4 linked regions of the Caenorhabditis elegans genome follow. The protein of the gene in region 1 purifies or fractionates together with the protein of each later gene. This does not show direct contact. Each region holds a gene or a part of one and is shown in the gene's direction. Other genes may lie near its edges.

Evidence for each region.
Region 2: the proteins of daam-1 (region 1) and gbf-1 fractionate together in Caenorhabditis elegans (co-fractionation; one large-scale study listed by BioGRID). This does not show direct contact.
Region 3: the proteins of daam-1 (region 1) and pfn-3 fractionate together in Caenorhabditis elegans (co-fractionation; one large-scale study listed by BioGRID). This does not show direct contact.
Region 4: the proteins of daam-1 (region 1) and ari-2 fractionate together in Caenorhabditis elegans (co-fractionation; one large-scale study listed by BioGRID). This does not show direct contact.

What each region holds. Positions count from the first base shown.
Region 1 is NC_003283.11:78,668-87,005, reverse strand, and holds the start of daam-1 (FH2 domain-containing protein), read left to right. Parts: upstream 1-3,173; 5' UTR 3,174-3,235; coding exon 3,236-3,291; intron 3,292-3,492; coding exon 3,493-3,595; intron 3,596-3,668; coding exon 3,669-3,755; intron 3,756-5,725; coding exon 5,726-5,856; intron 5,857-7,499; coding exon 7,500-7,635; intron 7,636-8,338.
Region 2 is NC_003281.10:11,767,341-11,775,884, reverse strand, and holds the start of gbf-1 (Golgi-specific brefeldin A-resistance guanine nucleotide exchange factor 1 homolog), read left to right. Parts: upstream 1-2,203; 5' UTR 2,204-2,223; coding exon 2,224-2,297; intron 2,298-2,357; coding exon 2,358-2,706; intron 2,707-3,845; coding exon 3,846-3,968; intron 3,969-4,307; coding exon 4,308-4,403; intron 4,404-4,453; coding exon 4,454-4,613; intron 4,614-5,398; coding exon 5,399-5,687; intron 5,688-7,541; coding exon 7,542-7,982; intron 7,983-8,544. Other genes in the region: immp-1 (Peptidase S26 domain-containing protein), read right to left, coding at 552-646, 697-822, 876-921. UniProt on the Caenorhabditis elegans protein: Guanine-nucleotide exchange factor (GEF) for members of the Arf family of small GTPases involved in trafficking in the early secretory pathway; its GEF activity initiates the coating of nascent vesicles via the localized generation of activated ARFs through replacement of GDP with GTP.
Region 3 is NC_003284.9:1,077,540-1,084,758, reverse strand, and holds pfn-3 (Profilin-3), read left to right. Parts: upstream 1-4,109; 5' UTR 4,110-4,133; coding exon 4,134-4,244; intron 4,245-4,845; coding exon 4,846-4,893; intron 4,894-4,939; coding exon 4,940-5,063; intron 5,064-5,115; coding exon 5,116-5,213; 3' UTR 5,214-5,329; downstream 5,330-7,219. Other genes in the region: Guanine nucleotide exchange factor rei-2, read left to right, coding at 136-213; LIM/homeobox protein lim-6, read right to left, coding at 5,420-5,529, 6,212-6,410, 6,468-6,613, 6,659-6,734, 7,021-7,150. UniProt on the Caenorhabditis elegans protein: Binds to actin and affects the structure of the cytoskeleton. At high concentrations, profilin prevents the polymerization of actin, whereas it enhances it at low concentrations. By binding to PIP2, it inhibits the formation of IP3 and DG.
Region 4 is NC_003282.8:5,548,192-5,556,707, forward strand, and holds the start of ari-2 (putative E3 ubiquitin-protein ligase ariadne-2), read left to right. Parts: upstream 1-2,942; 5' UTR 2,943-2,953; coding exon 2,954-3,011; intron 3,012-3,668; coding exon 3,669-3,769; intron 3,770-3,819; coding exon 3,820-4,142; intron 4,143-4,657; coding exon 4,658-4,915; intron 4,916-5,366; coding exon 5,367-5,581; intron 5,582-5,796; coding exon 5,797-5,999; intron 6,000-6,047; coding exon 6,048-6,185; intron 6,186-8,516. UniProt on the Caenorhabditis elegans protein: Might act as an E3 ubiquitin-protein ligase, or as part of E3 complex, which accepts ubiquitin from specific E2 ubiquitin-conjugating enzymes, such as UBC-2/UBE2L3, and then transfers it to substrates.

The sequences.
Region 1 (8,338 bases):
TGAACCTATTAATAGGCAGGCATGATTTTATGAACCTATTCCAATTTTATTTCTAAAAAGTGAATTTTCTGAAAGGAATATGCATAAATTAAATCTTGAGTGCGCTTCACTTCCGCTTGAGCACCCTTTAAATTTTCAAATTTAGAAAATCTGAAAATAAATTTTCCAGAAACGTTTTTTGTTCTGACGTGTTTTTTTAAAATTTATCTTTTTGAATTTTATTTTTTTGACATTGTTCGGAATTTCTAGCACGCGCTTTGGTATTTTTTGCCCATATTTTAGGCATTTTGGGCACACTTTTTTTTGTATGTGTAGCACATTGTGAGACATTTTTTAGCATAGTAATGCCAATTTTGGGACATTTTTGGCACTTTTAGCCCATTCTGTGGTATTTCAAGCATCTTTTTAAGAAACTTTGTGACATTGTTTTTGGCATTTTTGGGACATATTTGGAACTCTTAAAAGGACATTTTTAGGTATTTTTGGCACATTTTTTCTGGTTCCTCGGGCACATTTTCATGCATTTATTTTGGCATTTTCACCAAATGTTTTTGATCTTTTTTTTTTTAAAGTTAGCCATATTTGAAACATTGTTTTGGAATTTGTCATACATTTTTAAGCATTTTCAGAATTTTTTTGGTATTTTAAGTACATGTCAAGGAATTTTTTTGCAATTTTTTTTTGCATTTTTATTATTTTCAGCTCAATTATTAGCCACTGTTAAGAATTCTGAAGCATTTTTGGCACATTTCAGGGGGTTATTAACATTCTTAAAAATTACGGGAGATAAAATGTTTGGTGCGTTTTTTTCTGGCATTTTTCAAATTTTTGTTTTTGCATTTTTAAACGGAACAGAAAATTGCCAACAAAAAAATAAGGCAGCATGCAGACAGATAGGCCTCCATGCTGCCTTACCTACCTGCATATGAAACCCACTTGATTTTTAAATTCAGTTGATTTTGAGCACTTTTTAATTTGTGTATGTAATTTCAAAAATTGAAAAATTAACGTCTACTCATTAAAACGCAGGAAAAAGTTGCAGAAAAAATTTGGCCACCGATTTATATTCCTCGGCCACAGTTACATCAGTGTACCTAGACTCTATCTCAATTTGGCTCCGCTCTCACAAATGTTGTGTTTTGTTTTCATCACCACAACAGCAACACCTTTTCTCTTTTCAATTTGTCGTACTTTACCCCCCCCCCTGCACTCCTTCCAAAAAGTGTCAAATTTCTCCACAGACACATACTGTTTGTCTGTTCCAGGCCCTTACCTTCTCTAGTACACTCCCCTGCTTCTGGGTGGTGTCTTTTCTCTTTTGACCAAAACATTATGCCAACCGAAGCGCGGTAAACCGTAACCGACACCCGAAACCATAAAGCTTTGCTGATTTTATGCAGATTTATCCCAACAAATTTATAGCTTATTGCCAGATGTTTGGTTTTCCAACAAAAATTTATTGTTAATAATGCCTATAAAAATTGAAAATATGCTGCTAAAATGCCCAAAAATCCTAGTGAAATTTTTCAAATTTTTTTTTGAAATTTTTGACTTTCAGCAAAAAAGTAGTGAAAACTCATTTTACTAGAAGTCGACCAAAAAAAAATTAATTTAAAATTTTTTTCTCCAATTTTAAAAATTTTAAATTTTAAAAATTTTAAAACTATTTTTATTAGAATATTCCCAGGCTTCAACCCTGCAGAAATGCTTAAAATTTTTAAAAATTCGGCAGTTTTTGAAAAAAAAACTCAACTCTTTGAAACAATGGGAGTACTGTTAATGACTACTGTTTCGTTTTTTTTGAAAACCAGATGTTTGGTTTTCCAACAAAAATTTATTTTTAGTGGTAGGAAAAATCCAAAAATCATAGTAAAACTTTTCAAAAAATGTTAGAATTTTTTTTTGTAATTTACAGTAAAAAGTAGTGGGAAAATCCTGATTTTTTCCAAATTTTAATGATTTTTTAATTAGTTGCCCTGAAACATTATAGGGGTTTGAAACGTTTTACGAAATTTCTAAAAAAACACATTTTTTCAAATATAAAAAACAATCCGGTTTTTATAATTTCCTGTCATTTCTCCCTTTTTTGAAATAATTTTATTCTTTTTAAAAAGGAAATCAGAAATTATTTTTGACAATATTTTTTTGGGCTTTCTCGTAAATTTTTCACTACATTTTTTGATTTTTCTTTTTTATTTTGAATGTTTCGGAAAAAATATTCAGCTTTTGACTATTTTCAGCCATTTTTTCAATTTTTTAAGTGTAATCAATGTTTTGTTTGATAAAATCAAGCTTTCCGGGTAAATAAAAAAAAACTTTACAAAAAAAAATTTTCGCAAAAAAAATCACGTAAAACTTTCTACCTAAACCTTAATCTTTTCATGTAAACACCAAGAGAATTTTTTTTTGAAAAATTGAAGCTCTTACTGAAATTTGTAAACTCTTCTAATTTTTTTCATAGTTGCAGTGAAAAAATTCCAGATTTTTTTGCCAACGAAAAACCCATCCGCCTGCAATCTAGCTAGCTTAAAAACTTTCACTGAAGCTTATACCACCTGCTGTTTCTATTTTCAATCTGCTATTTTTTTTTGGATTGGCCGGAAAATGGAAAATGGAAATAACGTGGCAAATTGTCAAAAAGTAGCTCTCCTGCTGTGATAATCCCCGCAGTTTTCAATGCTAATTTTAATGCGATTCCTTGGAAATCTGATCTTTTTATTCTTGCATTTTAAGTGGTTTAAAATTACCGAAAAAAAATGGTTTGGCGGCAGACAATATGGCGTTTTACCATGCTAATAATTTTTTTTCAATAATTTTTGAATAATTTCTAACCTTTTAAACTTTACATCGAATAAGAAAATGTTAATTTTTGAATTTTTTTCAAATTTAAAAACGCAATTTTAGAAATTTTTCTTGCTGGAAAACACCACACATCATACCTACCTACCTCATGCCTGCCTATTTTTGAACTCCTGTCTTTTTGAAATTTTTTAAAGTTCAATTTCAAGTTTATCTTTTGTTTCCTATCAGTATACATTTCTCGAATTTTTCAAGAAAATCTATACAGTACAACTACTACATATACTTCAATTTCCCTTTTCTCTCTCTCTCTCTTTCCGTTCACATTTCCTTTCTCAATTCCGTATTTTTTGTTCAGTTACAAATTTCCTTCATTTTGCAGAAATATCCACACAATTCCCAACTGCAAAGAAAAAACACAGAAAACTGTTAGAAAATGGACTACATTGAAGACTGGGTCGACAGAGCAATGTCCTGCTTTTACAGAGATCGGTAGGTAAAAAAACATATAATAAATTTTGAATTTCGCGCCGAAATTTTTGACAAAAAAATTGATTTTGAATTTTGCTTTAATTTTTTTTGAAAATTTTTTTGGACTTCGGGACAAATGTTCTAAATTAAAATGTTTAAATATTGCGCCAATTTTTTTCAATTTTCAGAAATTAATATTATCATAATTTATCCTTATTCCAGTGACAAAGACGATCCCGGAAAGCAGCATGTGCATGATGACGTCATTTTTGCTCCAGCCCCATTGGATCCTGCAAAAATTGATAAAGATTTTGAGTGCCTTGTTGTAAGTTTTTTTTTTCGATAATTTAATTATCTTAAAAACAGTTTTAAATTAATAGAAAAACTTTAATTTTCAGAAAGAGCTCGGTTTGAACGAGGAAAAGCAGCAAGAAATGCACAATTACTCGATGGAAAAGAAAATGTCACTACTGGTTTCACAACATGTAAGATTAAAAAAATATTGTTATTCAAAAAATTCAAAAATCTTTAATTTAACCATTAATTACATTTAATTTAAAAAAATTTCAGAATTTTTTTTCAATATTCAGATTTTTTTTCGTTTTTGGACGTTACCTATTTTTTCTTCAAATTTAAAAAGTTTCCAATATTTTTTTACCAAAAATTTAGGAAAAATATCAATTACCGTATTTCCTCTATTAGTCTTGCATGCAAGACTAATTTTCGATTGACCCGTAGGGGTGCAAGACTAATAGAGACTGCAAGACTATTAGAGGCTGCAAGACTAATTTTCGAAGATCCAATAGCTTTGTAAAATTGATAATTTATCGTCAAAAATTTGGCTTGAAACTGTCTAAACCGTGCAAAATACATTCTTTTCTATTGTTTTATCAATTATTTGAACACTTTAAAATTTAATTTAGCTAAAAAATGGCAAATTTTTGAAGTTTTGACAAAATACTGCTGGTCTGGCAAGAATAGAGGCGCAAGACTATTACCGTATTTCCTCTATTAGTCTTGCATGCAATACTATTAGAGGCTGCAATACTAATAGAGAAAATACGGTAAATAAAAATTCCAGACGTTAATTTTGATAGAAAATTTTCAGACCCAAACATTTCCAGTTATACCTCTGCTCCCCTACTTGAAAAATTTTTTAATTAAAAAAAAACTCTATTTCTAAAATTCATTCCGCTAGTTTGTAAAAATGTTTTTTTAAGTGCTTCTCATCATAAAAAGCATGACTGAACAGAAATTAGGTCAATTTAAAGGAACATGTAGACCTTCCCTTAGACAACTATTGGGGTGTGAGGAGTGTGCCAATTTAACTACATTGTAAAACGAGAGGTTATGAACCGAAGGTAGAGACCGACCACATTTTTTAAAGTAAAAATTAGATAATTGTTTGTTTTTGCTTTCTCAATTAAAATTTTAGCAGTTTAGAAATAGCTTAAAAATAAGCAGACTATAAAATAAATTTAATATTACGAATGGCAAATTTTTGCTTCAATTTATTGTAGGCGCGTTTTCAGGCGTTTTCAATATCTACCTATTTCCGCCTGCATTTTGAAATTGTTCTAAATGATAGGAACAAATGAATGTTTAAAACTTTTCTTAATTAAATAAATTTGGAAAAATTAATTAAAAAATGGATGATCCAAACTATTGTTACAAATAAATTTTATGGATTTTTCCGTTTTTTAAATTCTGATTAAATCAAGTACACCGAAATTGTACACCTAAATTTTAAAGAATTCAAAAAATTGACATTGAAAATTCTTAGTTTTTGATCAAATTTCATGAATTTTTATTGAAATAGTTGAATTATTCATTCATTTATTTATTTAATCAAACTCTCCATAAATCATCTGTTTATTTATAATTTTTCACCTCCCAACACCTCAATGAGGGCAAACTCAAAACCCACAAAATAACACAAGAACCTGCGAGACGCAGACAGTATCAAATGAACTATCCCGTATATTATCGAAATTCTCGCCGTTCCCCCTCCACGACCTCCCATTATGCTTTTTGTTTTCATATTGACTTTGAAGCACCCCTTTGCCAATCATCATTGTTCTCGTATCAAAAAGGCTGAGGTTTATCGGTCTTTTATTGCAAGTAACTTTGTTCCCGTAGGAAATATAGAAAATTTGTCAACAGAAAAATAATTAAGAGATGATTTTGAACATTTCTGTATTTGGAGTTTTTAAATAGCAGTTTTGGCAAAAAAGTTATGTCAGTTTAAACTTTTTAAGTTTTGATTTTGAGAAAAACCAACTTTAAGTTCAAATTTAGATATCAAACTTCTCAAGTAATATAAAAATTTTCTAGAATGTGGATTTTACAATTTTTAATGTCTACCTGCCTGCGTGCGTGCCTACCGCCTATTTTTTTGTTGGTGCGGGCAGGCAGGCATGCTTTTCCTGTGCCTACATTAACCATATTTTTACAGTGTCTTCAAACAGAAGACGCGTCACACTTCATTGGGTTCCTCAAAAATTTGCAACAATCATTCGTGATCGACTCGAACACCATCAGACAACTTCAGGAACTGGTGATTTCGCTGAGGACACAGAATTATAGGTATTAACGTTTTTTTTTTAATTTTTCAAACTGCTTAAACCGCTTTTATAGTGTTAAAATGGCTAAATGTCATATCATATATCACAGAAAAAATTTCAAAAATGTTGTGAAATTTTTTTTTACAGTGAAAAATTGGATCATAATTTTGGAAGTCGACCAAAAATTGTTTTTCCAAACAACTTTTTTTTTTGATATGGGATATTAATTTAAACCACCTACATATATGTCACTAAAACACCTATTTATCAAAGAAATTTTTTTTTATTTAAAAAATTTAATGAAATTTTTAGTCAAAAAGCTAGTAAAAATTCAGTCATAATTTTGGAAGTCGACCAAAAAAAAAAGTTTTTTTCTACGATTTTATAATTTAATTAGACCATTATTGTTTGTATTTTAACATTGTAGGGGTTCAAACGTCAAGCAATGCACTGAATATCTCAAAAAGTCATCGTATTTCAGAAATTTGACAATTTACCAAAACTAGGCCTAAAAATTTTGAAAAATCTGAAATTGTTTAAAGCAATTCATTTAGACATTCGATCATTTTGATTTATTATAAAAAAGATCTATAGTACGTCCCCACTTACGATGTTGAAGGTGAGCCTTCTAGGTAGGCCCAAAAATGCCTGCCTGCCTACTTTTCTTAACCACTTGAAAAGAAACGTACCTGGGCGATGCACAGTTTTTTTTTTATAATTTCAAATTATTTTCTAACATTTCATATAGGAATTGAAAATAAGATATTCACAGCTCGGTCAAAAAATTTTTTGTTTTGAATTTTTTTATCGAAAAATTGTACAAAAAATTACAAAAATGTGTAGGCAGTAGGCAGGCAAATATTTTTTCCAGTAAAACCTATAAAATCCAACTTTTTCCCCGTCAATTTCCCATCAGTATTGATGAACCAATTCTTCTTGTAAGGACATATGTAAATTTGGAATGAGAAGAGAAGTGCCAGCTGACGGCCAAAAAGCAGTGTTCCCTTCATTTTCCCCTCTTTTACACTTTCATCTAAAATTTATCACCCCTAAACGACAAATTTCAAAACGAGGCGGAAAATTAATTCATTGAATTGACACTAGATACACAATTGAATATTGCTTTAGGGTTCCTTCGGGATTTTGGGGACACATTTTGGGAGGCCTGGACCATTGTGATAATGAATTTTGAATTTGAATAGGCTGAAGGCACAGGAATGCCTGCCTGGCTGCCTACATGCCTACTGAATTTTTTTTGCAGAAAGAGCCATCAGAAAATTCTCTATTAGAAGAGCATGCATTTGTTCCAAATTTACGTAATACAATTTTTATTTTCAAAAAAATATATTTTTTCTTTTTTTTTCTATTTTCAGTTTTACTTATAATTCCCAATTTTGACATTTTGGAATTAAAAAAAAATGTTTTCACGTTAGGCAGGCTCTGCCAACGTGCCTGCCTACCTGCCTGCCTACCGCCGAAAATTGACCGTTATAGGTAGGCGTAGGCATCCTTGAAAACATCAGTTACATTTTATTGCCCGTGGTAGCAAAAAACTTCAAATTCTCATAACATTTACTCGAAAATTATTGTCACGCAACACACTACTTATAGAACATTCAGAACAAAAAATTTCCAATTTTTGATCCCATTAAAAAAATTTTCCAGCTACCTCGAGAGTTTCATCTCCTCCTCCGGGCTCAAATTGCTCACGGAGCTTCTAAATCAGTGCCACCAGCAGTATACTTTGGAGCAGCCAGCACTGTTCTTCCTCTACGCCCTTCGTGCTTTATTAAATTCACCGGTAAGTTAAACAATTTTATTTTTGATGCGGATTTGTAAAATTGGGTGAACATTTGAAAAACAAACTGATAATTGTCGGCCGCAAAGATTTAATAAAAATGTGAACTTGCATAGAGAAACCCAAAAACTTTCGGCCACCCATTTCTCAAAAAAAAAACTAGGAAACCCTGTGAAATGTCCGCTGCAACTCACTTATCAGCGAAACTGTACAGTATCGGCTGTAGAGTCTAAGGGAAACTTGTGAAATGTCGGCTGCTCAGCACAAATTCCAGTATAAGATTTGTAATTAATTCAACCTTAAAAACGAGCAAAAATTCTGAATAATAACCCGCTGATTGTCGAGGAAACCAGTTAACTGTCGGTCGCTCATTTTTGTCAGAAACCGCTGAAAGTCAGTTGCAATTCATCCGCCGGAGCCCGTGATTTGTCGGTCACTTCTCTAAAACCCGTTAATTGTCAGCTGCAGTTCTTAAGAAACACCATGAAGTGTCGGCTGTTCACAACTAACTCTATATCCAACAGTGGCTGCTCTATTTTTTGCCTTTTTTTTGCAAAAATTAGCAGAATTTAGAACAAAGGAAACAGTTTGCACACCTCCCGAAAGATTAGGCGTGCGGAATGGTTTAAGTTTATTTAGGCTCCCACTGTGCCCGTAAAGGTGGAATTTTATAGGCTTATCATGAAAAGCGGAATTTCTTTTTCTT
Region 2 (8,544 bases), on another chromosome or scaffold:
TTAAATAAAAAAATCTGGGGTTTTTTGAACGAAAATTGACTTTTTTTTGCGTTTTCTGGCTTTTTACAGATTTTTTCCATAAAAATCCTCGTTTTTTGCGACTTTTTAGGTAGTTTTTTGATGAAAAATCGGGTATTTTAAAGAGATTTTCGGCTAAAAATGCATTTTTTGCAGATATTTCTATGCTTTTTTTTCAGGTTTTTCCTCTGAAATTATGGCTGAAAATGGAATTTTCAAAGATTTTTTACAAAAAGTTTTGTAGAAAGCCAGTTTTTTTTCAATTTTTTGCGTTTTTTTTTTAGAGATTTTGTGATTTTTCAGGTTGAAACTACTTAAATTCGCTTTTTTACACTTTTTTCCTGAAATTTAAACTGAAAATCAATTTTTTTTGCTTTTTTTTGTAAAAAAAAATTGCTGAATTTCAGGTTTTTCCCACCATTGTCGCGGAAAATGGCTCTAAAAATGAGGCAAAAAAACCAACTTTTTTCAATTTTTCAGTGAAAATTAAGTTTTTTAACATGAATTTCACGATTTCCAAGCGAAAAACCAACTTTTGCAGCTATCCGTTTGCACAGAAGCTCCTTAGGCTTCTGCGGATTCACACATCCCACTATATCTCCGACCTGGACGTTTTTATTGCGAATACCTGAAATTTCAGCCACTTTTATGTGAAATTTTCATTCAAAAAACTCCTACTAAATCGCTCGGCGAGCACCAAATCACCGTCATGAATCGTCGGATGCATCGATGGACCACTACAGATCACCATTTCCCCGATGTACTTGCTTATGCAGTGTCCGACGCAGTAAAAAGCGGCGGTTCCTGGAATTTTTGGGTTTAAAATGCAGTTTTCGGAGGAAAAATTGAGAAAAAACCTTTTGTAAACCTCCAGAGAAGCTTCAAGCCCTTTGATTTGACCATATTTGTCAGAAAATCTGGAAAAAGATGTGTTTTTCTCAAGTTTTGACGCTTTTTTTAACGGAGAAAACACATTATTCATAGAGTTTTCACAATTTCGGCATGACTTTTTATGAATTCACACTAAAACCAGTGATTTCTAACGATTTTTAGGTGAAAAATTGAATTTCAACACTTTTTAAAACATTTTAAGAGCGAAAAACAAAAATAATAAACAAAAAAAAATCGAAAAACATTCTCGCTGTGCATTCTGCCGTGGCGGTGTTTGCGTACAAAACACCAGAAAACGGTGCACGTGACGTGTCGTTTTCACTTGATTTTATCGCTTTTCTCTTCCGGATTTCGCAAGAAAACCTCAATTTCTCCACGTTTTCAAAGCCAAATTTCTTGAAAACTTCATAAATTTATAGGTTTAATTAATAATCGAGCCAAAAAATCCAATTTTCAGCCAAAAATCCACTTTTCAGCAGAAAAAATCCACTTGTAGCAGAAAAATCAAATTTTCAGCCAAAAACTTCAATTTTCAGCCAAAAATCCACTTTTCAGCAGAAAAAATCCACTTGTAGCAGAAAAATCAAATTTTCAGCCAAAAACTTCAATTTTCAACCAAAAATCCACTTTTCAGCAGAAAAAATCCACTTTTAGCAGAAAAATCAAATTTTCAGCCAAAAAATTCAATTTTCAACCAAAAATCCACTTTTCAGCAGAAAAAATCCACTTTTAGCAGAAAAATTCAATTTTCAGCAGAAAAAATCAATTTTCAGCCAAAAAATCCACTTGTAGCAGAAAAATCAAATTTTCAGCCAAAAACTTCAATTTTCAACCAAAAATCCACTTTTCAGCAGAAAAAATCCACTTTTAGCAGAAAAATCAAATTTTCAGCCAAAAAATTCAATTTTCAACCAAAAATCCACTTTTCAGCAGAAAAAATCCACTTTTAGCAGAAAAATTCAATTTTCAGCAGAAAAAATCAATTTTCAGCCAAAAAATCCACTTGTAGCAGAAAAATCAAATTTTCAGCCAAAAACTTCAATTTTCAACCAAAAATCCACTTTTCAGCAGAAAAAATCCACTTTTAGCAGAAAAATCAAATTTTCAGCCAAAAAATTCAATTTTCAACCAAAAATCCACTTTTCAGCAGAAAAAATCCACTTTTAGCAGAAAAATTCAATTTTTAGCCAAAAAATCTAATTTTCACCCAAAAAAGCCGTTTTCAAAGCCAAATTTCTTGAAATGTTCATAAATTTATAGTTTTAACCGTTTATAATCGAAATAATTACTTCAGAAGGTCGTCGTCAGTGTAAGATGGCGACCAACGGCGTCTACATCGTGATGGGCGAGGCGAATTGTGTCGTCGCGCTGCTCAATAAGGCTCGGAGGTTTGTTTCAAAAAAATTAATTTTGCGTTTTTGGAATTAAAAATTAATACTAAATTCCAGACAATACCAACTGTCACAAGTGCCGACGCTCGAAGACACGGATCCACTGCTGCGAAACTTCACAGATCTCAAGGAAGTGCTGAATGAGGTTGCCGATCTGGCAGATATGAATCCACAAACGTATCTATCACCGTTTCTCGACGTAATAAAGGCTCAGAACACGAATGGACCGATTACGGAAGCCGCGCTGGCCGCTGTCGCCAAATTTCTGAACTACGGGCTCATTGACGCGAGCAGTATTAAGGCGGCGAACGCTGTCGAGTCTATCGCCTACGCTGTGGTTCATACAAAGTTTATCGGCGGGAAAAGCACTGGAAGTGATGAATGTGTCCTTTTTAAGATTCTACAGGTACCAGGAGTGCTGAAAATTCATGTTAAAATGTGAAAATCTAAGAATTTCAGGTCTTTTTCTCAGAAATTCGAGAAAAAAGGTCAATTTTCATAAAAAATCAACGCAAAATTTGCTAGAAATGTGCCAAAATTTCATTAGAAGTGCAAATTTGGATGAATTTTATGTTATTTTTACCGTTTTTCAATTATGAAATTTTAAAAAATTTTTAAATTTTTTAGCGATTTTTGGCTTCTGTAAAATCTAAAAAATCGCGAAAAATACAATATTCATTTGATTTTTCATATTAAATGCATTTATGCATTTTTTCATGCATTTTTTTATTGGAAAAATGGAGTTTTCAAGTTTTTTTTCTATGGAAATTGTGAAAAATCCACAATTCTATAGACAAAAGAGAAATTTGTCATTAATTAACTTGAAAATTCCATTTTTCCAATAAAAACGCTTGAAAAAAATGCATAAATGCATTTAATATGAAAATTTAAATGGATTTCGTATTTTTCGACGTTTAAATTCTAAATTACACGGAATTTCTAAAGTTTTCACAATTTCGGCATTACTTTTTCATGAATTTAAACTAAAACCAGTGTTTTTTAACGATTTTTAGGAAAAAAAATTGAATTTCAAAACTTTTAAATAGTAAAAATTTTTAAAAAAATTAATTTTAGTCCATTTTTATCCGATTTTCTCGAATTTTCAGAGTTTTTAGCCAATTTTTAGCCAAAAAACTTCGTCAAAAATTCAAATTTCTACCAGAAAACCTCCAGAAAAATACCCTAAAATCGCAGAAAATAGGAATTTTTTAGGTTTTTAACGAAAATAAAAATCAATTTTTCATGGTAAAAATTAAAAAAAAAATCGATTTTCACTCCATTTTAATGCATTTTTATCCGATTTTCTCGAATTTTCAGAAATTTTTAACCAATTTTTCATTGAAAAAAAACACCTAAAAACTCCCAAAAACCATGATTTTCAGGTTTTTAACGCAAAAAATTTAATATGAAAATTTAAATGAATTTCGTATTTTTTCGCGATTTTTTAGATTTTACAGGCGCTGCTAAAAACCGCCGAAAGTTCACAAAAAAAAACTCCAAAAACCTGATAATTTCTAAAAATTTCAAAAAATCTCAATTTTCCAGGTGCTCCGCTCGCTGCTTCTCTCCCCTCCAGGCATCCTTTTGTCTAATGAAGCCGTCTGTGATATGATGCAGTCTTGTTTCAGAATTGTGTTCGAGCAGAACCTCTCTCTGCTTCTTAGAAAGGTAATTTTGCTGAAAAATCCCAAATTTTCAGCCAAAAAAAATTCAATTTTCAGCCAAGAAATTCAATTTTCAGCCAAAAAATCCAATTATCAACCAAAAAAATTCAATTTTCAACCAAAAAATCAAATTTTCAACCAAAAAAAATTCAATTTTCAGTAAAAAAATCCACTTTTCAGTCAAAAAATTCAATTATCAACCAAAAAAAATCAAATTTTCAGCCAAAAAAATCAAATTTTCAACCAAAAAATCCAATTTTCAGCCAAAAATCAAATTTTTAGTCAAAAAATCCAATTTTCAGCCGAAAAAATCAAATTTTCAACCAATAAATCCAATTTTCAGGCCGCCGAATCGACGCTAGCCGACATGACACAGCTCATTTTCACCAGATTGCCAACTTTTGTCGAAGACACCCGTCATCCATACATTCGGCAGCTGGTATTCATTGAAAATCGCCGAAATTCCCTCTAAAAATCCGATTTTTCCAGGTAAATCCCACTGAAAAACGACAAAAACGGAAGAAAAAGCGTCAATTGTCAGTGCATATTGAGACGAAGGCCAAGGAACCGGAGAATGTGCCAACGGAAATGACAAAATTGATTGGAGAAGCTGCAGAAACTGCTGAAACTGACGGAGCAGCGAATCTTGGTGCGGGTTTTAGCACAAAAAACCATTTTCTAAAGCCAAATCTCTCGAAAAATCGAAATTTGAGCACGAAAAATGCTCCAAAATGTGTAAAAGTTATGAAAATTAACCGGAAAAGCACAAAAAAAGTGTCAATTTGAACTAAAAAACGCCTCAAAAATGCTCTGAAATTTCTGAAATTTCAGGTTTTCCAGCAGTTTTGCGAAATTTGAGCTCTCAAAATGCTCCAAAATTGCGAATTTTAAACTGAAAATCTCCGGAAATTTGTGAATTTGAGCAAGATTGGTTTAAAAAATGCTCTAAATAGCTTGAAATCTCAATTTTTAAGCAGTTTTCTGAATATTTGAGCTCTGAAAATGCTCCAAAAATGCCAATTTTAATGTCAAAATCTCCGGAAATTTGCGAATTTGGGCAAAAAAGCTCAAAAAAATTTAAATTCCTTGAAATTTCGGTTTTTTAGACTGTTTCCAATCATCTGAGCTCTCAAAATGCTCTAAAATTGGCAATTTCAAACTCAAAATCCCCGGAAATTGTGAATTTCTGTTTGAAAAACCCAAAAAATGTTCTGAAACTCCTGAAATTTTGGGTTTTTGAGCAGTTTTCTGAAATTTTGAGCTTTCAAAATGCTCCAGAAATGCTCCAAAACTGTCAATTTTAAACTCAAAATCTCTAAAAAAGTTTCCAAATTGTGCGAAAAAAGCCCCCAAAAGTGCTCTAAATAGCTTGAAATTTCAATTTTAAAACAGTTTTCTGTATATTTGAGCCCTGAAAATGCTTCAAAATTACAGGCTACGACGTAGTGCTCACGACGGATCCACCAGTCGATACAGTAACCCACCCGGATCCACCAATTGAAGAAATCATAAAGCTTGCTGAGCCAATTTCAGCCGGAGATGAAGCCGATTCAGAATCAGAAGGCGGTGGCGGTGAAGAGCATCACGAACGTCCCCCCGTTCGGGCTCACGCTGGATTACAGAGAGAAATTGTGTCGGATGAAGAGGAAATCGATACGGAGCAAACTGTTGGAGGAGAAGAAAAAATGCCCTATGGGCTCCCATGTTGTAGAGAGCTTTTGAGGTACTGAAAAGTTGTCTGGAAGCCCGTTTTTCATGAAAAATTGCTCTGAAATGCTCAAAAATTCGCTGAAAAAGTGCAAAAATTGGTTGAAATTCGCTTTTAGGAGCTGAAAATTGTAAATTTCTGGTGCTTTTTCGGCTAGAACTGGCAAAAAAAACGGCCAAAATTCAGAAAAAAAAATCCATTTTTCAACTCAGAGACGCTCGAAATATGCAGAAAATTAAAAATCAGAGCCTCTGAGGTATGAAAAATCGCCCCTGAAAGCCCGATTTTTGATCTGAAATGCTTTAAAAATTGGTTGGAAAATGGAAAAATTGACTCAAATTAACTAATATAAGTGCAATTTTAAGCTTCTGGAAGCTGAAAATGTTTTAAAAAAATTTTTATGTAAATTTTCAGCGATTTTATTGGAATTTTCCAAATTTTCGATCAATTTTTAACGAGAAAATCTGGAATTTTTTTCCATTTTCAAGGCGATTTTCACCGAAAAATCGCGAATTTTACGAATTTCCAGCCAATTTATTAAATAAATCAGGATTTTTCCAAATTTTCGGTCAATTTTTACCGAGAAAATCTCGAATTTTACACATTTTTGGTCATTTTTCCCCCGCGAAACCCAGACTTTTCTAAATTTTCAGCCATTTCTAACCAAAAATCGTGAAAAATCTATACTTTTGGTCAATTTTCACGGAGAAAAGCGAGAATTTTTACATTTTCGGGCTATTTTCACCATCGATTTTCACATTTTCACTGAAAAATGGGTAATTTCATCCATTTTTGGTTAATTTTCACAAAAAATTTGTACATTTTCCGAATTTCCAGCCAATGTTTTAGATAAATCACGAATTTTCCACATTTTCAGTCATTTTTCGCTGTAAAATTTTGAATTTTCAGGCTGTTTTCACTGAAAAATCTGGAATTTTTTACATTTTCGGGACTATTTTCACCGAAAAAAAATAGTTAATGTTCCAAATTTTTAGCCAATTTTCACTGAAAACCATTTAAAGTTTCCAAGATTTCGACTATTTTCCACCAAAAAATTGTGAATTTTCCAAAATTTCAGTTAATTTTCATTGGAAAATCTGGAATTTTTTCCATTTTCCGGCTATTTTCACCGAAAATTTGTAAATTTTCCGAATTTCCAGCCAATTTATTGAATAAATCAGGATTTTTCCAAATTTTCGGTCAATTTTCACCGAGAAAATCTGGAATTTTTTGCATTTTCAGCCAATTTTCGGCGGAAATCTCTCAATTTTACACATTTTTGGTCATTTTTCACCCGCGAAACGCAGACTTTTCTAAATTTTCAGCCATTTCTAACCAAAAATCGTAAAAAATCTATACTTTTGGTCAATTTTCACGGAGAAAAGCGAGCATTTTTTTACATTTTCGGGCTATTTTCACCGTCGATTTTCAATGACGGTAATTTCATTCATTTTTGGTTAATTTTCACTAAAAATTTGTAAATTTTCCGAATTTCCAGCCAATTTTATAGATAAATCACGAATTTTCCACATTTTCAGTCATTTTTCACTGAAAAATCTGGAATTTTTTACATTTTCGGGACTATTTTCACCGAAAAAATAGTTAATGTTCCAAATTTTTAGCCAATTTTCACTGAAAACCATTTAAAATTTCCAAGATTTCGACTATTTTCCACCAAAAAATTGTGAATTTTCCAAAATTTCAGTTAATTTTCACTAAAAAATCTAGAATTTTTCACATTTTCGGAACTATTTTCACCGAAAATTTGTGAATTTTCCGAATTTCCAGCCAATTTTTATCCAAATCTACCAGCTTTTTTTTGGGATTTTCAGTCGATTTTCACAATAAAATCCCAACTTTTTTTTCCAGATTCCTCATCACAATGACCAACCCAGTTGACCGTCACAATACTGAATCAATGGTAATTCTCGGCTTAAACTTGCTCATTGTTGCTCTGGAAGCCATCGCCGACTTCCTTCCAAACTACGATATTCTCATGCCACTTATCAAAAATGAGCTCTGTCGAAATTTGCTCCAACTGCTCGACACGAATCGCCTACCAGTGCTCGCCGCCACAAATCGCTGCTGTTTTTTGCTGTTTGAATCGATGAGAATGCACATGAAATTCCAGTTGGAAAGCTATTTGAAGAAGCTTCAATCGATTGTGCTCACCGAGGAAAAGCAGCATGAAAACGGTGGTGGTGGAACGGAGCAAAAAGAAATGGCTTTGGAGTCACTTGTTCAGTTGTGGAGAATTCCCGGATTGGTTACCGAGATGTATCTCAATTTTGATTGTGATCTCTATTGCGGGTAAAATTTTGGCTTCGAAATGCTAAAATTTTGGTTAAAATCGAGTAAAATTGGATTTTTGTACGGAAAATTCACTTAAAAATGTGAAAATTACTCTGAAATTGGCGAATTTTGGCTTAAAAATGCTGAAATTTTAGTCCAAATCGAGTAAAATTGGCCCTAAATATGTCAGAAATTACCGAGATTTATCTCAATTTTAATTGTTAAAACAGGAATTTTGGCTTAAAAATGCTGAAATTTCAATTTAAATCGAGTAAAATTTGAAAAATTTGATTTTTGTGCTGAAAATTCACTTAAAAATGTGAAAATTACTCTGAAATTAGCGAATTTTGGCTCGAAAATGCTGAAATTTTAGTTTAAATCCAGTAAAATTGGCCATATTTTAGCTTAAAAATGTTGAAAATTTGCTTAAAAATCGGTGATATTAGCCCGGAATTAGTTTTTGCTCAAAATTTTCTCAAAAAACATGAAAATTCGACATAGAAATTGGCCTGACTAGCGTGAAGCCGATTTTCTCGAAAATTGGCTCAAAAATTACACGAAATTTCACCCAAAAATCACC
Region 3 (7,219 bases), on another chromosome or scaffold:
AGGAGTTCAGAGTTAAATCACTATGCGATATTTTTTGTAGTTACCTAGTCTAAAATTAAACCTAAAACTAGTGGTCATCTCCTTATTTCAACTGAATTTTCAATCTGGAGATCAACTGATAAGTACCTTTTTCAGGATATCGAACTGGCTACTGACCGTGTTGGCCACATTCTGAAGCCCAACATCAAAAGTGTATCAAATGCTCATGAATAGATTGTCAAGTCAAAAATCTGTAATCTTGACTGTATCAATTTCCATGTATCTTCATTTTACAAAATCTCTTTTCTACCGTTTTACTTTGTATTTTCCCTCCCCCAATCTTTTCAGAAATTCAAAAATTGGCCCCTTCACGTTTTCTAATAGTTTTAGGGCTCTCGCAAGTCTCCGGGTGGACGCCTCTTTGTTTGTCTAAACGTTTTTCTCTCTCACACCTCTACCAACTTGCCTCAGTTTTTTTGTCGTGTGTTTTTTAAGAATCATTTTTCGTACTATTTTTTTTGTTGGTTTTTCATACTGAAACAAAAAAAATTAACTTTGAAACTTTATTTATTGTCCAGTTTATTAGGGCATAAGCTCTATGGTTCGAAAACAGAAAATGCAACATTTTCAGATCATTCTACATTTATGTGTCTGCGTCTCAACTCCCGCATTTTTTGAAGATCAAATCAAAATAACTCCACGTGTTTAAATAAGTATACACAAATTTGGCGACAACTGCTAAAACTTCATGATATCAAGTTTTGACAAAATATTTAAAAACGAGCATACAGTTTTGTCCATTCCACAGAACTAGGCATACTGCTACTTATATTTGATCTTTTGAAGACTGGAAAAATCGCACATTCAGTCTTCTGGTCATTTTTTAATCAAACATTTTCCTCTGAATATATATCTAGTGTTAATTTCTCCCAAAAGTGCACAAAATAAGAGTTGTCATTTGAAGTTATTGAAACATGCTCACCTGCAAAGTGTAATAAATATAACAAATATCACTGATATGAATAAAATTTCAGCTGATAACATTAAGTTACACTCAAAATAAGAAAACTGCAAGACAGCTCGCCGCGCGCACAGCGAGTTAAATATAGTGGGGCAAGGAACCCGTGAGATGTCGGCGGTTAGGGTCCCAATTTTGGTGAATTCCATCAATTAGGGGTGTCGGCAAATCACTATTTTCTGCGAATGCCAATTTCAACAACGATTTGACAACGACTAACAACAGTGTTGGCTAAAAATAATTCAGCAAAATTTTGACTATTTTTATGGTGAACTTGCCCGTATATGAATCCATTTTCACGTCAGTTTTTAATAAGAAGCTTTTAACTTCTTTACTCCAAACAAACCATTTTTACGACCGTGCACCTTTGAAAATACCGTAATATGTTCGAAAGTTCAGGTGATTTTTGATTTTGATAGTCTGAGAATTAAAAAAAGTTCGTCGTTTGACAAATGACCGGCAAGTTAGGCAATTTGCCGTTTCTGATCTACTGCGCGGTATTCAGCTTTCAATTGTCAAAATAATTTTACAAAAAGCATTCCAGGAGTGCGCTGCAATCAAAATTGAGGCAATTTCGGTAATTGCCGTTGCCAAAAAATTCCAAAACCGGCAATTGCCGAAATTGCAGGTTGCCGATAAATTCCGATTGCCGCGCACTCCACGTAAAGCCATTTGAAAACATTCCAGTTTAACAGAAACCCATTTTTGAAAATGGACTGAGTTTCCGAAGTTTCGATGTTCTGAATGTAATTCATATCATCTCGGCAAAACGTCGCAACTTCATAGAATACTCCTGCAACTTAATAAAAACATTTATATAACTTTGTAAAAAGCTGTTAAGAAGTTGCGAAAACCAACGGGATTGTGAGCGAAATTTAGCTTTACATCTACTAAGAAATTGCAAAAGTCGTCTGAAAAGCTGCAGAAGTTTGCTTAAAAGCTAAAATGTCTAATTGTTGTTAAGAAGTTGCAAGAGTATGCTATGAAGTTAGGCCGTTTTGCCGAGATGGTCACATTAACTTTATTTTGCTAATTTCTTTGTCACAGTTTATTGTTAATTTATGACATTGACAAAAACTCTTTTCTAAAAACTAAATGGGGTCATCTTTTCGATCAACAAATCAACTGTACCAACTCTGAAATTTTTGAATTTTTTTGTAGAGCTTAATTTTTAAAACCAAATTTCATTGGGTGCCCCAGGAAATTTTGTTTTTTCGTACCGTGTTAGTAAAGATATTATGATCCAAATCGTTTTTTTCCAGTTTTTTGGCACATGAACTTTGAAAACGAAATATTATTATTTCATCAAATTTTATCTAGATTCAATTTTTAGGCTGACGTTTCCTGTTGAGTGGACGCCAAAATGAGCCGTCCTAAAAAGCATCCTTATGTTTCAGCGTGCAAGCCGCAAATCAAAAATTCGACATTGATCTCATTAGACACTTTCCTTGCAAATCAATCAATAGTTTTTGAAATTTCGATGGCCGTCGGTGAGCGGGGCTATCCGTTTCCCTTTCTCTCTCTTGAATGTTTTCGTCGCGTCAGTGGAACCTGCAGATAAAGCAAATGAGAGAAAAAGACATAGAGCAAACGACAGCTTTACACTATGATTGTCGAGTTCTGCCCCGGGGATAGGCTCTCCTCTGCCACAGCGACTCCTCTCCCGCCCTTCATCTATCTGCGGTACTTCATTCCCCCGTACACTGTTCCAATCGGCGCGCGCTCTCTTCAGGATCAACACACTGTTCTCACACACACACACACGGGAGGCAAGGAGACAAACTGGTGTCTTACGGCTATTGAGCGGCAATTCAGTCTTAGTCTCACATTTTATGTCCAACAGAGGCTCAGCGAGCAACGAACCCCACGCAAATATCTTCCGATCTCTTTGCGTCCCGGTTTTGAAACGAACGTTTATTGAAACTTTTTGAAAGTTAGATTTCTCACTTTTTGTTAATTTTTTCGAATTGTTTTTATTTATGACGTCTTCCCCATATTGCCGTATTTTCTGAAAATATCAAAAAGTGGTAAATTGCAAAACTGACCAAAAATGAAAATTTTGTTAAGAAATAATTTACCTGCTGTGGCTCTAAAGTCTTTTATATATGTTTTTTTCGAATACTACATTTAATGTAACAAAACTGGTGTGCGTGTACGTGAAAATCTTGAAATTTAGTAGGCATCCACTTTGAGGATAATTTTCTGAGGAAATGCCAAAAATCAGCACCCCAAATGATATCATGGCCGGACATCTACCGGGATTCGGTCTTGCAATAAGCTAACTCACTACTGATGGAAGCACAATGCGGAGCGTAACCCGGTAGATGTCGAGTCATGATAACACTTCTGGTCCCGGTTTTTACAGTATTCCTAAAAGTAACTATCCAATTGTGGGTATTTCAAATTTAAGGATAAAAATACTGGGCCTATTCTTTCTATCTTTTTTTGAATCTCAGACAGGTTTTAGATTTGAGACCTTTCTAGTTAACCTCAATAATTAAATTCTCCAGTACTGGTAACAAGAAATCTCAAGGTTTTTTATTTGCTCTGTAATTCTTGGCTCAAACTCAAACTTTCACTGATTTCAATATTGATGTTAAGCACCTGGTCGTATTAATTTAATGTTGCTATAATGCTTTGTAAAAGTTGAGAAATTTGAAGGTGGCACAAATTTGTAGAAAATTTTACGTCATTTTCTAAAACAAAACTGCTATAAAAATAACTGCCGCTTTCCATCTAAAAGTATCCGCTGAAAATTCTAATAATATTTTATAGACATCGAATTACCTAACAACGAATTATAAAAAAAATTTTGTTGTAAAACCAAGTTTTAGCTTCTATAAAACCAAGTTTTAGCTTCTCCTAAGCAGGTAGTTAGACCTGATTTCATAATCGTTTACCAGACATGCGATCAGATATCTAATCAACATGTGTTCATTACTCATCTCTCCAAACTGCTATTTCAAAATAATTTCTTCATGATTTTTTGGAAAACGTCAGAAACCAAGCGTCATCTGTTTCCATATCTCTCTCTCTTTCTCCCACGCACTGCACAATTGTGCCCCGTTTTCCACGTTTTGAGCTTCTAGACTTTCACTTTTACTTTCAAAGTTTTCAGCACACACAAAACGAAAACATGTCGTGGTCTGATATTATCAACAATAACCTTATCGGGTCTGGAAATGTGAGCAAGGCTGCCATTCTTGGATTCGACGGAGCTGTATGGGCAAAGAGTGATAACTTTAATGTAAGTTTTCAAAGTTTTTAAAATTGTCAAGTTGCCAAAATCTCGACTTTCAGTGGCATGATCAGCTTGTGATTGGTGTTAGAACTTTTTTGAGATATTAAAACTGGAAAGGACTTGCAATTTTCTTAGGCTAGAATTCTAGGTATTTCTCTAGGAATGCAACTCCTGGTCGATACACCACCTCTCTTTGAATCTCATCTCTGATCTAAAAACACTGTAAACTTCTATCAAAATCTATATTTTGTCTGCACCAGTTTTGAAAGATTAGTACATGGTGCATTGACAGATAATGAACAAATACCGCCTGCGTGAGTTTTGTTACTGAAAGCATATTTAGCTTGTTATAAAAATAGTCTTCATGTAGGAAAGGTGTGTTGGTGTACTGTAGAAGTACTTTAGTGTTACTATTGTTCAAAAATACGTTTTATCTATTGAAGGAATCGTCGGTGAAGATGGTGTAGGAATATTGTAGTGTAGGATTATTTTAGTCCTAAAAATAAGGTTTCGTTATTTTTTGGAAAACATAAGTTGAGGCTAGAGTCGGGGCACTGAGCACTGTAGTAGATCAAGCAGTACAATTTGAATAGTAACGTATTTCCAGATCTCCGTCGAAGAAGCCGTCGCCGCAGGAAAAGCCTTCACCTCCTTGGTACCTTTTGCTTCTCTTAATATCATTCTCACCCTCTAATTTTCAGGATGCTCTTCTTGGAACCGGCCTCCGCTTGGAAGGACAAAAATTCTTGGTCCTCAACGCAGATAATGACAGAATAATTGGAAAGCAAGGAGGATCTGGATTTTTCATCTACAAAACTATCCAAGGTGAACTAACTAGGATTACTAGACTGATTTAAACAATCTCTGAAACTTTTAGCCGTTATTATTTCCATCTACGAGAAAGGACTCCAACCAGAAATGTGCAGCAAGACCACCGGAGCCCTGGCCGATTACTTCAGGTCCATCAAGTACTGATCACAATTCCCGAAGCCTCCTGCCGATTTGCCATCCATGTTTGCATTTTTTTTTTTGTATTTTTTCATTTCGTTTCTTTTTTATATAAATAAATAATGAAATAAATATTTATCTTTCTCAAAATTCAAAAAAATAGCAACTCGAAATAAATAATATGAGGTGAAAAGCAAAATAAAGCGGGTGGTTTGATTTCCGAACAAAAAAAGTCAAGAGTGATATGGAAAATAAATTTGGGAAGATGTCATATTATACAGTTTTTGAATTGGGTCCGTGTAGCTTGAAGTTTCCGAAGTCTCCACCTCGTCAGCGTCCAGGTCTGAATTTTTTTTTTGATAAGAACAATTGTTTGAATTCTAGAAGTCTATAGTTTTAGCCCTTTTGGTTCAGCTATCCGGGACTGACCAACTGAACAATTATGTAAAAGTATAGTGAAGCTTAGGCCGATCTTGCTGCAAATTTCGAGTTGGGCCTGCATCGCCCGACACCTCACCGGTTATACAAATCTATAGGAATTCACCTGGCATGGTTAGCCGACACAAGCACGGACCGTATCGGCTAGCCGTACCATGTGTACTACGCGTGAAGCCTTCTTGAATTTGATTGTTTTAAGGTTCGCAATTTTGCCGGGCTCGGGAACCCTCATATTCCCAAAACGTGGATCAATCTATTTTACACCGGATTGCTAGTCAAGAAAAGATTGACCAATTTAACCGGACTAACATAAGTGTTTTCGGCGTGCAAAGATTAGAGCTCTGACCGGGCTTCTCAAAATTGCCGATTGTTAGAAACTTTCAGCATCACCTGTGGTCTAACTAGGTATTCGAGAATAGACAAAAATGGTGTAGTTTAGACTGATATACACCAGGCGTGTGTAATGTTTCTTTTGTACCTATAGCTCTCGATACATTACGGAACAAACTTTCTAACTTTTTGAAAAACTGATTTCAATTTGTAAAGCCACAACTCGCCAATATCTATACCTATTCTCTTCAACTTACTTATCACAGACTCTTCCTCATCATCAGAGCTTCGAATGTCTTCCGTGCTCCGTCCCTCACTTCCAGGCCCGTGTTTAAATGTATCCCCTGAATCCGAATCTTTCTTGTTCAGCTTCTTGATCTTCGCCCTCTGATTTTGAAACCAAACTTGCACAACACGAACACTGAGGCCAGTTTCATTTGCGAGTTGCTCCCTGACCTGCAGAATTATTTAGAATAATTTTTTTTGAATTCAGAATTCTGTCAGCCAACCAACCTTTCGACTTGGTTTTGAACTTCTTTCAAAAGCAGTCTTAAACTGTCTCCGTTGCTGAGCATTGAGGATCGTTCTTGGTCGTTTTGGCGTTTTTCGGTGGATTTCTGACCGTACTACTTCTTCCATGAGAGGGTCTGGATTTGATACTGAAATTGCAAAAGTTGTGAAGGTAAGGGTATAGTGAAACTCACTTGTTTGAAAATTACAAATGGACTGGTAGTCATTCCGACAAAATACTTCTCCATCGAATACATGATATTCATCACCCTGCAACAAAGTTAGTCCTGATAATTAAATAAGCTCCAATATTTTTTCAAGTATTACTAAACGTTTTCAGTGCTCAGACTTTTAATTCCTGAATTAGGAAATAGTTATTCCTTACAAATCACATTTTACAGAAAATCAACATAAAGGGAGCCTATAGGTCAGCTCTTTCCGCAGGGAGTTTCCAAAAGTCCAGGGTAACACAGGTAAAATGTGAAATATTATTCACTTACATTTTGAAAAACGATTGAAAACTTAAATCACAATATTTTATCTAAAACCAACTCACCAGATTAAATGGTCGTTGACAGGAACAGCAGCTGAAACATTGCGCATGATAGTACATAAAATGTACGCGATGGACAATGTCAGTTGGCAGAAGCAGTGTCATGCATCTCCGGCAACGCTTCCCATATAGCCTGAAAGATTGACATATTGGAGACATCTGCCTATAAGGGTGTCAGGAAGCTTCGCGCATTACATAAGAT
Region 4 (8,516 bases), on another chromosome or scaffold:
TCCCCTCTCCTTGTTAAATGTTTGTTTTTTTTCTTTTTTGATGTTAAAATTCCTCTTCGAACACGGTCAACATCTGCTTTAAGTTTTAGAGTTCATGATACTCAACTTTCAATTGTTTCAAGATCTCCCAGTTTTCAGTTTGGATCTCTGCTCGTATTTCTCCCCCGAATCGCATTTAAGGAATATGTAGTTCCATTTTTTTCTCAATAAGCTTTTTTATTCGGTTGAAATTACTTTTTGAAGCCGAAAATAAACATTAATTTTATTCAAAATAATTCCGCTATCTAGTAATCATTCGTCTTGAATCGACTATTGGAGTTATTTTCAGATAATTTTCTGTAAGCTTCAGAAAATTGAAAAAAAAAACATTTAGTTATGTTTAAAAAAAAACGTTTTTTTTTATGAAACTCTTTATTATAAAATTGAAGAATTGCAAAAAAAAAAGAGATTTTTCCAATTTTTCAAATTCTAAATTTTGCTCCAGTTCTAGTACACATTTGAAAGTATGCATGTACATCGAAAAACTCACTAAAATCTTTCGCTCTTCATATAAAATTTTCATCAAACTGATGTAAATTCTCTCCCCGTTTTTTCGCCTTTTCCTCTCTTCGTCTTCATCAGATTCTCACGTGTTTTCATTTTTTTTCTCATTTCTTCTCTTCAGACACATACATAGATATACAAGAAAAAGCTGTCAAAACATTGTCTCTTTCTCCATAAACCTGCGTCTCTTACTACTCGCTATGAGAAAAAAAAGAAGAAAAATCTTGAAAATGTGTAAAAGTATGCATTAAAAAGCATGTGAAATCCCACCGAACACCGGCAGCCTAGAAAAATCCATTTGAAACAATTCGGCCATCAAAGTGTTCTGTTCCTTCTTGTTCGCCCCGGCGACCGATCAATTCGTTCTTTCTCTCCGCACTCACTCATTTCACTCGCTGCTGCTACTGCTGTTTCTTTTTCTTCTTCCAATTTCTACTCGTGATTGAAATGTGTATATGCGTAGGGGTGTTTATACAATTACTTTCGGTATTTTTTTTGAATTAACTGTTTCAAGCCAAGCTTTTACTATACGTTTGAAGTTTTTTGTGGTGGAGTAGTTTTTGTGGGGCTTTTTTATGTCTGACAAACCATAGAAAAAATGAGACGAAAAATCTATAGCCGAAAACCGGCAAAAATGCCAAAAACTACGTAATTCGTTTGCCCGGTAATTCAAAAATAATTTTTATTTTTCTGATTTTTTCGCAAAATTAAAAAAAAAATTATTAAAAATCTAGAAAAATCCAATAAATTTTCAAAGTTTATTCGGTATTTTTACAGCTGTTTTCTTTCATTCACAGGGCAAAACCCCCACAGCTTTATCATTTAAAAATTGCAATTTTCATCCCAAAAAAATCTTTCCCTTTAGCCACTTTTCCCATACCTCTAAATAATTCAAAGTGTAATTCCAAAACTCACAAAGTAAACCCTTCGTGTCCTTTCAAACTATATGACCTTAACCATTAGTAGCAGAAGCACTTTCGACACTTCTCATCCTCATATTTCCAGCCAAAAAAAGGAAAAAAAGAATGTATCACATTTCATTCATTTTTTAATGATAAATATTTTCCTGCGGTCGCAGAAAAGCTCAATGATCAGCTTTGACTGCACATCGAAGAGTTTTTTTTCTAGTTTTGTGCACGTTTCACTTAATTTTATGGAAACACTTGTTGAAAGTGGTCATTTTCATTAGGTATTGAATTACTTTATGTACGTTTGAATTTTATTTCGTTGAACTTTTTAATTTTGAAAAAAAAAACCTTTTTGAAAAAAATCGAACACCTAAAATTTAGATTTTAAATTTAAACAAATCAGCTCAGATTTTAGTTTGGTTTTATGCTAAAACACTTAATTTTTGAACATTTTCGCCTTTTTTTTGCATCTTTTTCAATTCATGTAACTTCAGTTAAAACCGACGTATTTACTGATGAACACTACAGGAAACAAAATTTTTAATTTTAAATTTTTTAGTATCAATTAATACATGGGTTTTTTACCCCAAACTCTATTAATAATTAATAAAGTTTTTTGCTAAAAATGACGTATTTCAACCAGAAAACTGTCAAATACTTTCTCTGAAAAAATCAATAAATACACTTCTCCACGAGGAGTACACTAGCTGCATAAATCGACACACGGTCTTGTTGGAGTTCTACAAACGCTAACATTTAGTGACAAAGTATTTAAAAATATTATCGCTAAGTGTGCTAAAGTTATCTGAATTTCGCTGCTTCCTCGAACAATTTTTGATCACTTTTTCAATTTTTCCAACTGGAATCAACCATATTTTCAGATAAATCAGATATTTTTTACAGTTTTTCACTGAATTTTAATTTCTTTTTTGTTGAAAAAATTAGAATTGATAACAACTTCCTTCCTCATTTTCTCTCATATTTTTTTTCTCAGATTCCATCGTTTCCCACTCTTCGAGTCTCAAAAATCTCCATGACGACAAATCCGATCTCTTTGCTCACACACAAGCTCTCTATCTCCTCTTCTTTTCGTCCTTTTTTCAGTTTTTATAACACAGACCGGAAACTTTACCCCTCATACACTCTCTCTGTCTATTCCAACCGATTTGCTTTTGAAATATTTGGAGGTGAAGACGAATGAACACGCGCAGGAAACAAATAAGCGAGATAGTATAGGGAGGCTATAGAGACGCAGACGTCGAAAACCTGGCAGGTTCAGTTGACTACTGTAGAGTGGCGGTTGCTGCTGATGCTGTAATAATTGCCGATTAGAAGCGCCTAGTTTTTTTGCCACTTTTTTTATAATTTGAAAGACTAGTAGTGTAATTTTAGGGTTCAATGATGTAGTTTTTGGTTTAAAATATTTTTTTAGATTGTTTTTTTTCCTTTTCTCGTTCTTTTTTCAGACATCATTATAATTTAATTTTTCAGAAAAGCAGAAAATGGACGATGAAGACATGAGCTGCACGTCCGGGGATGATTATGCCGGTTATGGAGATGGTTAGATTTAAGCTGATTTAAAAAAAAATATTTATCGCCAAACATAATTGTAAATTTGAAAAAAAAACTGAAATTCTAGATTTTTCGTTGAAAAATTTCCAATTTTCGATTTTCTTTAATTTTGAATGAACAATTTTCTGCAAAAAATCACAATTTTCTTGGTTGAAAACATTCTCGCTTTTAAAAGTAGTAGATATTTTCAGAAAATGCATTAAAAGGAACATTTTTCTGGAAAAAATTTCAATTTTCTGGCCAGGAACCTGGATTAAAAAACAAATATTTCGATTTTCTTCACAATCAGGGAAAAGTTATTATTTTTTAAAATTTAAAAACAAAAATTTGAACCATAATATAACTACAAAAATTTGTGTTTGAATTAACTTTTTATTAACTATCTAATGATTTTTTTTAATATTAAAAAATTCAAAAAATTGGCTTGTAAAGTTCAGAGCAAGAGTGCCGCTTTTCCGGAAAAATTGAAATTTTGTCAATTTTTCTTCTTTATATGAAAAACCCCATTTTTTATTTTCTCTCACAACCAATTTTTAAATTTTTAAAAATAAATGATTAATTATCTACAGATTGTATTGTCGATTTCCTGGAAAAATTTTTTTACCAAAAAAAATTTGAATACTATAAAATTTCATTAATTTCCAGAAGACTACTACAACGAAGCGGATGTAGATGCCGCTGATGACGTGGCAGTGACACCGACACATTCAGAGGAAGCTGATTATGAGTGTCTCTCTGTAAATCAAGTAAGCAATTGTATACACATTGTAAAATTAATTTAACTGAACAAATTCAGGTCGAACGGGTATTCATCGACGGTGTAAATTCACTTGTATCCAGAATTTCAATAAATGAGAAATTCGCTAGAATACTCTTACAAGCTAATCATTGGGATGTTGATAAAATAGCTCGACTCGTTCGAAATGATCGAAATGATTTCTTGAGAAAATGTCATATCGACGCAAAACCCGAACCGAAACGGAAATTATCGTCAACTCAATCAGTGTTAGCAAAGGGTTACTGTAGTGTATGTGCTATGGATGGATATACTGAATTACCACATTTAACATGTGGACACTGTTTTTGTGAACACTGTTGGAAGAGTCATGTTGAATCTAGGTAAATCGGGAGGGGTTTGCACATTTGAATGTAAAACTAACAGAAATAAACGTCTGTTTCAAAAGTTAATAACCGAAATTATTGTAAAAATTCTTATTTGATTGGTGTGTTTTTTTAAATAAAAAAATACAAAGAAATTCCGGAGAATTCAAGAATTCAGAAAAAAGGGAAAATAAATACACAAATGCATGAAATTTTTTAAAAGGAAATAATGCAAAAAAAATGCACAATCCCAAAAAAAAGCAAAATAATCAAAAAATGCTGACAACATTTTTTTGAATTTTACAAGTTTATGGAAATATTCGTGTTCGGAATTCTATTGCCAAAAGTTTACTTAAAATTATCAAATTTTTAGATCAGCGATTCAACTGAATACTATTAGTGTTCATTAATAAATATAATCAGTTAATTAAATAGAAAATAGATTTTGTAAGATTGAAAACTAAACTACAGAAAAATCGTTTTTTTTTTCAAAATTTTATTTGTATCTTCAAAAAATTCCATATTTTTTCCAGATTATCAGAAGGCGTTGCATCACGAATCGAATGTATGGAATCTGAATGTGAAGTGTATGCACCATCTGAATTCGTTCTCTCGATTATTAAAAATTCACCGGTGATAAAGCTGAAATATGAACGATTTTTGCTCAGAGATATGGTAAATTCTCATCCACATTTGAAGTTTTGTGTTGGAAATGAGTGTCCTGTGATTATACGATCAACGGAGGTTAAGCCAAAACGAGTTACTTGCATGCAGTGTCATACTTCTTTTTGGTGAGTTTTTACACTTTTTTTCTAAATTTAAAGCAGCCAAACTCGGTGAATTTCGTAAAAATGCCTTTTTTACAAAAATATTGCTTCCGATTTCCATTTTTAAATGACTTATTTTATTCGGCAAGTTTCAGAAAAATCTGTTCTTTTTCAAAACCCACTCATCAAAATTTATTGAATATTGTATTTCTAGAAAAATTAACTCTCAATTTTTTTTTCAATGTACGAACATTTTCAATCTTCTAGGTCTCGTAGAAAGAAACTAGTTTTTTTTTAATTTAATAATAAATTTTTAAAACCTGAACCCTTCCAAAACCGATCATAAACAGTTATTTGAGAAATGCCATTTTCCAATATCATAAGTTGATAATGTATATAAACATTTCTTTTGTATATCCTTTTTCCATCCAAATTTGCCATGTCACTAAACTCCGAAATTTCCCCAAATTTTTAGTGTAAAATGTGGCGCCGACTATCATGCTCCAACTTCATGTGAAACCATCAAACAATGGATGACAAAATGTGCAGATGACAGTGAAACAGCGAATTATATTAGTGCTCATACGAAAGATTGTCCACAATGTCATAGTTGTATTGAAAAAGCTGGTGGATGTAATCATATTCAATGTACAAGGTGTCGACATCATTTCTGTTGGATGTGTTTTGGTGGTGAGGAATTTGGAAATTTTAAAATTTAAATTTCATGCGAATTTTTCTTCTCGAACTACACTTCTAGTCATGAATTTAACGAATATTGTTTTAATTCAGAAAATAAAACTAACATCGGTGACTGGTTTTCGAGTATTTTAAATAAATAAAGTATAACATCTACAAAATTTGCACAAAAAAAATCAATACCTAATCTAAAATTAAATTTTTTTTAGATTGGAAAAGCCACGGAAGTGAATACTACGAGTGCAGTCGATATAAAGAAAATCCATCAGTGGCTGCTGAAGCTAATCATGTAAAAGCACGAAGAGCTCTCGAGAAATATCTTCATTATTTCGAACGATTCGAGAATCACTCAAAATCGTTAAAAATGGAAGAAGAACTGAGAGATAAAATTAGAAAGAAGATTGATGATAAGGTAAGGATATTGAAATTACAAAATTTTGCTGAAAATTTTCTGTTTTAGGTCAACGAGCACAATGGAACATGGATTGATTGGCAATATCTTCACAAGTCGGTCTCATTGCTAACGAAATGTCGATACACGCTACAGTATACCTATCCATTTGCCTACTTTCTCAGTGCGACTCCCCGCAAGAATTTGGTATGTTTTCTTGGAAAAGTTAGAGTTTAAAAGTATGAACGTTCCAGGTAAAGTTTTAAAGTTCGGCTGAAAATTTGAAAAAAAGAAAGATGTATGATTATCTAAAAAAGACTGCAATATCATTTTTCACAATAGTGACTACTGTAGAAAAAGATTTGTAATGTCATACTGCCGACTAATAGCATTATTTTACGATGATTGCTATTGAAACATAGTTTTTTTCCGAGGAATTTATTGAAAACCACATATATTTCAATAAACTTGAACCTTGCCTCTAGTTTCGAAAAGTTTCCGGTCCTTCCTTCCACTTGAACATATTCTTGTCTTCTTCTCCCAACAAGTGTATTTGTGTATTGTATTGATTCATCTTTAAATATACAACGAATTCCCTTCTTCCGTAACTTTCACAGCAGACAGAATGATACAATTCTTTGAAATTTGTATTATTGTTGTTGACAAGAAACGAATTCCTTGGAAAATAGTGGCAAACACGTGTCGCGTCATTGATCAGAATCATCCCCCGGTTTCTGTGTGTGTGTGTCTAGAATCGTTTGAAGAACCAGAAAATCTAAATCTCAGAGAGTTTCACTGATGAAAAGTGTCACTTTTTGGACACGTAGACCCTGTACTCACAGTATGGTGCCGTCAGTTAACTCTGTGGGTGGTATGAGACGGGAGAAGAAAAGAGGAAGCCAGTTTCAATGGAATACTGATTATTTGATTGATGATTCGGAAAAGTGGCATGAAACGGTTTTGGATCTCAAAGTTCAGAAGACTGGAGGTTCAAACAAGTCACGATTTTTAATGATTTGAGGATCACTGTCCAGAATTTCAGTACTCATTCTATTTCAGCTTCTTGTTGTTAAGTTCTGCTGATATTTTCTGAAAACATTCATCACACAGGAAATTAGGCAGTTTTTAAGCATCGTAGCGTACTGTGGAATACCGGAAGTCTTCCCAAACTTCTAGAAAAAACAGAAAATTTGATTCCGAATTAGAAATTGAACTCTGAATTGAAGGTGTATTCCCGCTCTAATGAGAATGCTGAACAAAATCTTCCTCTTTGATCAACTTCTTGAATATCCGAGATCTCTTTTCATGCTCATGGATTTCAGTTAGGGGTTTTCCAGAATAGTGAAGATATCGAGCTCATCATTCAGACTTTCCCGCTCTCCATTTTGCACATTCTCCAGATCTTTGACATTTCCCTTTTCCATTCAATCACTACACTTCTACACATACACACCATTCTCCTTCCAATCTCAATAATAAGTCTATAAATCCCCGTCCTTCCTCATTATCCCCCACTCATCGGACCCGTGCTGCTGCTTGCCTGCCCGAAATCCAAAATCAGTGCCGATAATCCGGCTCTCGTCCTTCTCTTTCAAATCCAGTCTCTCTCTCTCTACCGACGCAACGACTACAAAATCTGCCCAAATCTGGGGGAAGGTGAAGGATTTCAGAGAGAGAGCGAGGACGGATTAATGGAAATAAATAGTAAGAGACATACACACACACTTTTGGATATTCCTACCTTTTCGATTAATGGACATACATGGAATGGGAAGAGAGAGAGAGAGAAAATGGAAATACTAGTAGTAAAGAAAGAATTCTATGGAAATTTCAATTTGCCGGAAAAGGTGTTATGAGGAAGATTATCAAGTATGAAAGTTCAAAGCTCCATGCTAATAGATTAAGAATTTGACATTTTTGAACATCGGATTCGAGGTTCCTTATCAAGTTTGCAGCTTCTCCCTTGTAACTGAGAATAGTCTTACTGTAACCTTGCGAAGGATTAGACTTATCTCCAATTTTCAAATGGGAAACGTTCTTATCAGTAATGTTCTTTTTGAAAATGAATGTTCAAGGACAGATAGCATTAAACTCTGCTTTGGTTTCTACAGTAATCCCAGACTTCTGGATTTCAAGTCTCAAGTCTAGAGTAATCTAAACAGGGATGTGCTGCAATTTCTGACAATCAATTCTACAAAATGTTTCAGTAAAATTTAGTTATAGAATATAGAAAACATATCTGCTCTATCTGAGAATAGGTTATATTCCAGTTGAAACAATTCAAAAATTGCTCAAAAACTGCCTGAAAGTTGAAAGTTGGACACGTAGACCCTGTACTCACAGTATGGTGCCGTCAGTTAACTCTGTGGGTGGTATGAGACGGGAGAAGAAAAGAGGAAGCCAGTTTCAATGGAATACTGATTATTTGATTGATGATTCGGAAAAGTGGCATGAAACGGTTTTGGATCTCAAAGTTCAGAAGACTGGAGGTTCAAACAAGTCACGATTTTTAATGATTTGAGGATCACTGTCCAGAAT